Schizosaccharomyces pombe: one gene and its partner. The gene in region 1 interacts genetically with each later gene. Each region holds a gene or a part of one and is shown on either strand. Other genes may lie near its edges.

What was found. Genes that interact genetically often act in the same process or in processes that back each other up.
Region 2: mutations in SPOM_SPAP8A3.07C (region 1) and pho4 together harm fitness more than expected from each alone (negative genetic interaction), as found in Schizosaccharomyces pombe (one large-scale study listed by BioGRID).

The regions. Positions count from the first base shown.
Region 1 is NC_003424.3:5,325,662-5,330,353, reverse strand, and holds SPOM_SPAP8A3.07C (phospho-2-dehydro-3-deoxyheptonate aldolase), read left to right. Parts: upstream 1-2,129; 5' UTR 2,130-2,244; coding exon 2,245-2,253; exon of another isoform or gene 2,254-2,524; coding exon 2,525-3,634; 3' UTR 3,635-3,968; downstream 3,969-4,692. Other genes in the region: myosin II light chain cdc4, read right to left, coding at 448-476, 549-641, 708-848, 922-1,053, 1,106-1,136; U2 auxiliary factor small subunit Uaf2, read right to left, coding at 4,093-4,692. UniProt on the Schizosaccharomyces pombe protein: Stereospecific condensation of phosphoenolpyruvate (PEP) and D-erythrose-4-phosphate (E4P) giving rise to 3-deoxy-D-arabino-heptulosonate-7-phosphate (DAHP).
Region 2 is NC_003423.3:444,824-448,949, reverse strand, and holds pho4 (thiamine-repressible acid phosphatase Pho4), read left to right. Parts: upstream 1-1,921; 5' UTR 1,922-2,141; coding exon 2,142-3,533; 3' UTR 3,534-3,626; downstream 3,627-4,126. Other genes in the region: nuclear membrane organization protein Apq12, read right to left, coding at 1-16. UniProt on the Schizosaccharomyces pombe protein: May dephosphorylate thiamine phosphates.

The DNA.
Region 1 (4,692 bases):
AGTAAATTAGATATACAAGATATACACGATATGGCAAAATTGGAGCCGAATGCATCAAGAAAGCTGGCATCAACCGTAATTACTTACGAAAAGTGTAATTTTGAATGAAAACTTATATTTACATCTGGAGAGATTCAAACAATTTAAGCAGCTGAGATATAAGGTCATTTGCATGAGATAACAAATGGTTGTTAATCATATTCATAAATATACGAATATAGAAGGATATCTCTATTTCCGTATGCTAAACGATATGTGTAGAAATTCCTGCGAGTATCGAAAAGTCCAGTTATCTGTATTCAGGAACATATTGCTTCATAGTCCCAAGTGTATCAGATGGAAAAGCTGAACGAAAGTAAACTATTGAAGACATAAAATTGAAATAAAGGTGTAAATAATAAAGGAGAAACATATGCCGGGTAAATTATGCAAACTATGTAGATTTAATTAATTGGCAAGAATCATTTGAACGAAATCTAAAGGAAGCAGTTAGTATAATTAAGTATAGGTAGTTGATTGCCGAAGCCCAGAGTAGTAATAGAGCATACCGTGATAATTAACCATGCCATCTTTTACGGGAACACCCTTTAATAACTCGTCCATTTCTTCGTTGCTGAGTTTTTCACCCAAAGAAGTTAAAACTGATACAATTAGTTTCGCATTTTTTTATCAATCTGAAAAAAGGATAGATCTCTATAAATACATACCATAGCGCAATTCACCCACTCCAATCATGCCAGTGGCATCTTTATCAAACACCTGGAAGCCCTTCACGAATTCCTCTGGGTCACCAGGCATATCAAACCCATTGGGACGATTTAACACTTGAAGGAATTGTTCCATATCGACTACCAATTAGTATTGTCACTTAATGCACGGCTAAGGAGTATAACTCTCCAAACCCATAACAAGAAATCATACCTTCTGCGGGCAAAGTAGATTCAATTTCAGTAATCTCAGCCAGCGTAGGATTTTGTCCACACGCTCTTAAAAGATCACCAATGGACGTTTTGGGGATGCGACCAGTTCCATGGCGGTCAAATAAAGAAAAAGCTATCTTTTCGTTAATAAACATTTTGAAATGATTTCAAAAAGTAGTTATTACCTTGTTTATAAGGTGAATCGTCTGTCGACATGTTTGACTATTCTAAATGGATTGTTAGGATGAAGGTAAGTGTACTAAGTCGACTGTAATCTGTGTACACGCACCTATAAGCCCCATAGCAACCGTTGCCATGATAATGTTTACTGTATAGCGATCTGTTTAGTAATTTACTAAAGAACGTAGAGCTATGTAAACCAGCTTATATGAACAGAATTGTCATTTACTTTGCCAGATTTTAATTTAGAACATCATTCGTATACAGAATATGAATAGTCATACTAATGTCGAGCTACTTGATAAATTATGAAATGGCTGGCGATTTCACTATTTCTAGTGCAATACAAAATACGAGAGTCACCGGAACACGAGAAATACAGTACTGATGCACTTCATAAATTCAATAATCACATCAGAATATCAGATATCATTAACTTGTTAACCTCAAAAGACTAATCTACCGGAAAGCCAACGCTGTCCACCAGACTTCTAATTTTCGGCGTTTGTGTACCAAAAAGGCAGTCACAGATGGTATATCTAAATTTTCGGGCTCACAAAATATGCATTGAGTAAAAGTAAAATAAACGAATCAATATGTTTTTATATGTTGCTTTAATGCGTGGTTTATATAATTGAGCGAATCTTGGAAATAAGTATTTTGATAAGCAATGTATATATTCTCATATCCCAGTGGTACATGACAGTAAACATTGTAGGAAACGTAATTATTAAATATTATATATCAATCCCTTTTAACATTAATTTATGAATTAATAAGAAACCGAAAAAAGGCTTTATTTTATGTTTTTACGCTCAACCTTCAATTTACTTTCAAGTAATTAAATAGCAAGTGAAATCTAGAAATTGATACAAAACAAAGGACTTATAAATTTGAACAAATTTTTAAGCGATGATGTCCAGAAATTGCCTACTACTTGTTTCGCAGTTCCGATGACTTAGAGCCATTATCACTGGATCATCTTATTACTGGACTACATATATTTTTCGTTGGCGCTGCTTCGAACTCAGACAGAACCAACCTTCGTCGTAGTAAAGGACCTTTAATAGTGTTTACTTACTTGGCATTCAACAACTTAGGAAGCACTCTTTGACCTAAATTTATTAATTCTATTTAATAAGCCATGTCTCCGGTAAGTAACCCCAATTGGGCATCCAAAGAATTTTGCTAGTAAAAATTTTCATCAGTCGGAGAAACAGTACTGAAAGTTATCTTATTGAGTTATATAGTAGATTTTACTATGCGGATAACAAATTTGTTTTTGCTGATGAATTTTTAGGCAATTGAAATTTTAAATTTTTTTGTTTCTTTTTTTTGAAATTTTTATTGCTTTATGTTGATTGCTATGTCCAGCATGTTTGGTCTTTTTTTTTAATGTCAATTTGCTAACATTATTCAATTAGGTTTTTTTACCCAGCGGTGAAACTTACGATCAAGAGCATCTTGATGACAACCGTGTCTTAGGTTACAACCCTTTGGTTCCTGCCGCTTTGGTTCAACAAGAGATTCCTGTTTCTGAAACTTCTCGCAAAGTCATCACTGACTCCAGAAAGGAGATTCAAGCTATTCTCAACAAACAAGATGACAGAATTATCGTTGTTGTCGGTCCTTGCTCCATTCATGACCCTAAATTGGCCATGGACTATGCTAAGTTGCTGAAGCCCAAAGCTGACGAGCTTCAGGATGCTTTGTGCGTTGTCATGCGTTGTTATTTGGAGAAGCCCCGTACTACTATCGGATGGAAGGGTTTGGTCAACGACCCTAACTTGGATGGTTCTTTTGCTATCAACAAGGGTATTAGGATGGCTCGTCAAATGTATTGCGACGTTACCAATTTTGGCATTCCTTTGGCCAGTGAGATGTTGGACAACATTTCTCCCCAATTCTTCGCCGACTTACTCAGTTTTGGTGCTATCGGTGCTCGTACTACCGAGTCTCAATTACATCGTGAATTGGCTTCTGCCCTTTCCTTCCCTGTTGGTTTCAAGAATGGTACTGATGGTACTGTTGGTGTGGCGATTGATGCCATTGGTGCTACCGCCCATCCTCACACAATGCTAGGAGTTACTAAACAAGGTCTCGCCGCTATTACCATGACCAGGGGCAACAAGGATACCTTCATCATTTTGCGTGGTGGTAAGAAGGGTCCTAACTATGATGCTGAGCACGTTGCCGCCGTTCGCAAAGATCTTGAGAAGGCCAACCTTCCTCCTCGTATCATGATCGATTGCTCTCATGGCAACTCAAGCAAGAATCATTTGAACCAACCAAAGGTCTCCAAGAGCATCGCCGAACAAATCAGAAATGGCGACTCTTCCATTGTTGGTGTTATGATTGAATCTCATATCAATGAAGGTCGTCAAGATGCTCCAATCCGTCCTGGCGTTAAGGATACTCTCAAGTACGGTGTCAGTATCACTGATGCTTGTGTTAGCTGGGAACAAACTGCTCCAATGCTAGACGATCTTGCTGAAGCTGTCCGTGCTCGCCGTCAAAACCAAAAAAGTAATTAAGACATATAAATGTTATATTCAGCAGTTTTAATTTTTTTAATTTTTGAAACTTATTTTTTCGTAACATACAACAACTGAACAATTTTGGCTTAAATACGGGTTCTATTTATTTTTTTTTGTTTTTTTTTTCTTATATCGTACACAGCTTCTACCAATAACACCTTCGTTTTTAAGAATTGCTGTGCAAGTTTTGCGAAATGTTTGATCGTTTCATATGTTTCTAATCGATCTCCTTTAGCTTGTAATCAGCCATAGGCACATTGGACACAAAATTTAAAACGTCTATGAGTACAGTTGTACAAAGATCAAGTTTATTAGTAAACAATAAAAGAATGCAACATCTATTTAAATAACCTAAATCACAACAAACTATAGCCAGAGATTAATCATAATAAACGAAGTAAAACCGTACAAAAGCAAACCAGAATCCAAAACAAATACATTCCATAAGTTGCTATTTAATTTTTGCGTTCAGCAGTTACACTGACCCATCGATTCGTGGAATCACTATTGGGCTCCTTTTTCATTTCTTCTGCTGCATTTAAGGCCAAATACTTTCTTTGTGCTAGTACCAAATCGCGTAAAAGCTGAGGACTTGGTTTTTTGGCATGCATAAAATTACAAAGGCCACCCCGCTGACATTCCGAAGTTTCGTGTTGCCGGCAACATGCCTCGCGAAAATCAGTTACAGGAGATAACTCGGCGTAGACTGGTCTTTGGGAATACCATCGGGAATTTAAATCATCAATAGCATTTTGGGCAGACTCTTCATACTTGAATCTTACATAAACATTTCCGACTAAGTGATCTCCAACATTGTCACAGACGACTAATTGTTCAACTTCACCGTATTTTGAAAACTCACAAAACATGTCCTCGTAGAATGCATCAAATTGTTCTGCAAGTTCACGCTGCGTGAACTTTTTGCCATTTGGTTCATGAATTGGGTTTTTATACATGTTGGGACATAAGATCGTTTGACTAAAATTTGGTTTGACATGTTTACGAGAGCAGCGTTCCCCATGTCTACAAGCTCCTATTTTATAATAGAATGAGCA
Region 2 (4,126 bases), on another chromosome or scaffold:
CGGATGTCAAAGACATTTTCTAAAAAGTTAAAATATGAACGGGGAGTAATAGAGATGGGAGTAGTTAGGTGTGCTTTTTGACTGAATGTTGACGTTGTAGGCGAATTTTACCAACGATTACATTTGCTAATAAAATATGTTAAAATAAAAATTGGAAGATGAGTTGAAATAAACGGTTCTATAAACAAAACTCATTTAAAGAAAGAACTGGCAAACAGATTATGTCAACATATCTCATCTAATATCGAGACTACTGATAAAAAAATCTAATTTGCTAATGACTACAAGCTTTTATTGTTTACTCTTTGTTGCTTACAGTTCTAGTCAAAGGAGGTATTTTATTTTCGTATTTCGCTGTACATAGCATAATTTCATGAAATGCTTTTCTCTATAAATATGCTTTTATAAAGAACTAGTTAATAAAAAATTGCTTATTTCTAAGCTCTTTTAGGATTAGTAATATATAAAAAGGAAGATAAGTATTTTTATCCCTTTTTAACTGGATTGTTATTACTATAAAAGAAAGACTCTTACGGTTGATAATAAAAGCGTAGAGATCAGAAGATAAAAGTAGAATTCACCGCCTATATTTCCTTTGGAATAAATATCCAACAGTATACTTACTATTATAGAGAGAAAATTAATTTCCCTTTGCCCTTTATCATATAAAATGGTTCTTTTTATGCTGAGTGCCTAGCATAATTCCTTCCTTTTCGAAATATCAAAAGGCTTGTGAGACTTCAATTGGTAAATGCTTTAAAGTGAGTTATTACTAGCTCGCTTCAACCACTTCAGCTTGATTCTCCAATAACCGAGTTTTCAAAAGTACTCATTCTTGCAATTGCTATAAAATTTTTATCTTTATTTATACCATTACCATTGTAATATTGTTATAAGGCATCGCTTTACTTACTGAACATAAAAAAAATCTTCATCATAAAATTAATTAAATGTCAGAATAGAAAAAAGTGTTTAGAGGGTCCAACCGTACAAACAAACAACTTTTACGTTTTTAACATTTTCATTTCTTCAATAACCCCACAGTTGTTTTAAGCTATTACTTAAGCGAGGGCTGCACATGACAATGTGGCTAGTATACCCTTTATATACATTTTGAATATGCATATGAAACCCATTATATTAACGCTGGAATAGCGGGAATGCTTGTTTATTATATTAATTTATTCTATTGGAATGAATAAATCTTTTTTCTGGACATTTAAGAACGGCATGAAACAAGTAGCTCTAATAAATTAAATTGTTGGATCTTACTAAAGACTAAATATTAATAATAATTTTCTCCCAAGCTATTTATATACATATTAGAAGCAATTTGCAAAGATAGCAGACTAATACTCTTCAATGCCCAACTTCTTATTAGTGATATACATGTAAAAATATCTTTATTATGCAATATTATGTAGCAGCTCGTACAATGTTTGCACATCTTTACACAATAGTATTCATTTTGTATTACATTATCATTTATAATTCCATTTCACAGAGAGTAGGCATTGCTATTATATAATATAAATTTATATAAAACAAAAAGACTGCAAAATCATTTCCAACTGAAACTTCGTTCTTTAGTTCTATTAAATTATTAAGTATTGGAATATCAGATTTTTGTAAGTTCAGTAATAATAATATCATTATATTACACCGTTGTATTATTAATCGCATAATATTACTGTAACACTTTGTCCGTAATTTGCATCGTTATTTCAGTTAACAATTGTGGGTCCAAAATCTTAAAGTCTAATAGCGAACTACACCAGGTTTGCAACTTCATTCATTTTTTTTAATTCCAATGTAGTCGTGCCGAAATCAGACTTTGGTTTGGTGGTAGCCGGGGTGCTTAGTGTTAGCAGATATCCGGATTGATTGTATATAAATATCTGCTGCTTCTTGCGCTTAGAATAGTCATCTTTTGACTGTTTATTTTAGACTTTTCCTACTTCAAATAATCAAAGTTCGTTGATTGAATAGACTACCGTTCGTTTCAACCCGCTTTTAAATATTCGATCGTTATTTTTTTTGCTATTGAATCGCTGGTCGTTGGTTGATTCATACACAGTAAATTTCTTTCTTGTGGTTTTATTGGGTCTGCTTGGGTTACATAAATTCATTGTTTTTTCTCGATGAAGTTAAGTGGTATTTCTCTATGGCTTTTGGCCGCATCCATCGTTCATGCTGGTAAATCTCAATTTGAGGCATTTGAAAATGAGTTTTATTTCAAGGACCATCTTGGAACGATTAGTGTATATCATGAACCCTACTTTAATGGGCCCACTACCTCCTTCCCCGAATCTTGTGCAATTAAACAGGTTCATTTGCTTCAGCGTCATGGATCTCGAAACCCGACTGGGGATGACACTGCCACTGATGTCTCTAGTGCGCAATATATAGATATTTTTCAAAACAAGCTTCTAAATGGCTCAATTCCGGTAAATTTTAGCTATCCTGAAAATCCTCTTTACTTCGTTAAACATTGGACTCCTGTGATAAAGGCTGAAAATGCCGACCAGTTGTCCAGCAGCGGTCGAATTGAACTTTTTGACTTGGGCCGTCAAGTTTTTGAGCGCTACTATGAGCTTTTCGACACTGATGTCTACGATATCAATACTGCTGCTCAAGAACGTGTTGTCGACTCTGCAGAATGGTTTAGTTATGGAATGTTTGGCGATGATATGCAGAACAAAACCAACTTCATCGTTCTTCCGGAAGACGATTCTGCGGGTGCAAACTCCTTAGCTATGTATTACTCTTGTCCCGTTTATGAAGACAACAATATTGATGAAAACACTACTGAAGCCGCCCATACTAGTTGGCGTAATGTTTTTCTCAAGCCTATCGCCAATCGCTTAAACAAATACTTTGATAGCGGTTATAATCTTACGGTTTCGGATGTTCGCAGTCTTTACTATATTTGTGTATACGAGATCGCTCTCAGAGATAACAGCGATTTCTGTTCACTCTTTACTCCCTCTGAATTTTTGAATTTTGAATATGACAGTGACCTTGACTACGCATATTGGGGTGGTCCCGCTTCAGAATGGGCTTCCACATTAGGTGGGGCTTATGTTAATAACCTTGCAAATAATCTTCGTAAGGGTGTGAATAATGCTTCCGATCGTAAGGTATTCTTAGCGTTTACCCACGACTCTCAAATTATTCCAGTCGAGGCTGCTCTTGGGTTTTTCCCCGACATTACTCCTGAGCACCCTCTACCGACTGACAAAAACATTTTTACATACTCATTAAAAACCTCTTCGTTCGTTCCCTTCGCAGGAAACTTAATTACTGAACTTTTCTTATGTTCTGATAATAAATACTATGTACGCCATCTCGTCAACCAGCAAGTATACCCCCTTACTGATTGCGGTTATGGTCCTAGTGGTGCTTCAGATGGGTTATGCGAGTTGAGCGCTTACTTGAATTCTTCGGTTCGTGTTAATTCTACCTCTAATGGTATTGCTAATTTTAACTCGCAATGTCAGGCGCATTCCACCAACGTTACCGTCTACTACTAGACTTAGCATCTTATATTATTGTTAACACAATTGGGTCCTTAGGAATAATATAGATAATTTTTAACTATAGTAATAGCTTATGTATAAGACTTAGGTATTAAGGAGGAAAAGTAGAGCGAACAGAAAGTGAGCATTTATATATTCAAGAAAGACTTACGAGACATAGTATAAACGAGTTGTGTCAGTGTTTGAACAAAAAAGGAAATACTTATAGTTTTAAATGCCTAGTACGAAATCTATAACCTTCACTCGTACCGCCTTTAGGTGAAGCTAATTCTTCAATTCGACTTACTTCAAAGCCTTTCAAGTGACTCCGTAGCTTTTGTAATTCCTTTCCAAATCATTAATATTAATAGGTCGGGATAAATCTTAAACATTTCTCAAGATATAACGCGTACATTAACGATTCCTTTTGGCGTCAACAACTCACCTTTTACCACACACGAACGACACAAAAGTTTAATAGAATTCATTTAAAATATTTGAAAGTCATGTAATTTGCCAAAAAAAAAATCCCTAGTCCTCCTTTTCCATTACACGGATAAAAGAATCAATCAATCCCTTTTTTTAAACCCTTTAATATCTGTAGCTCT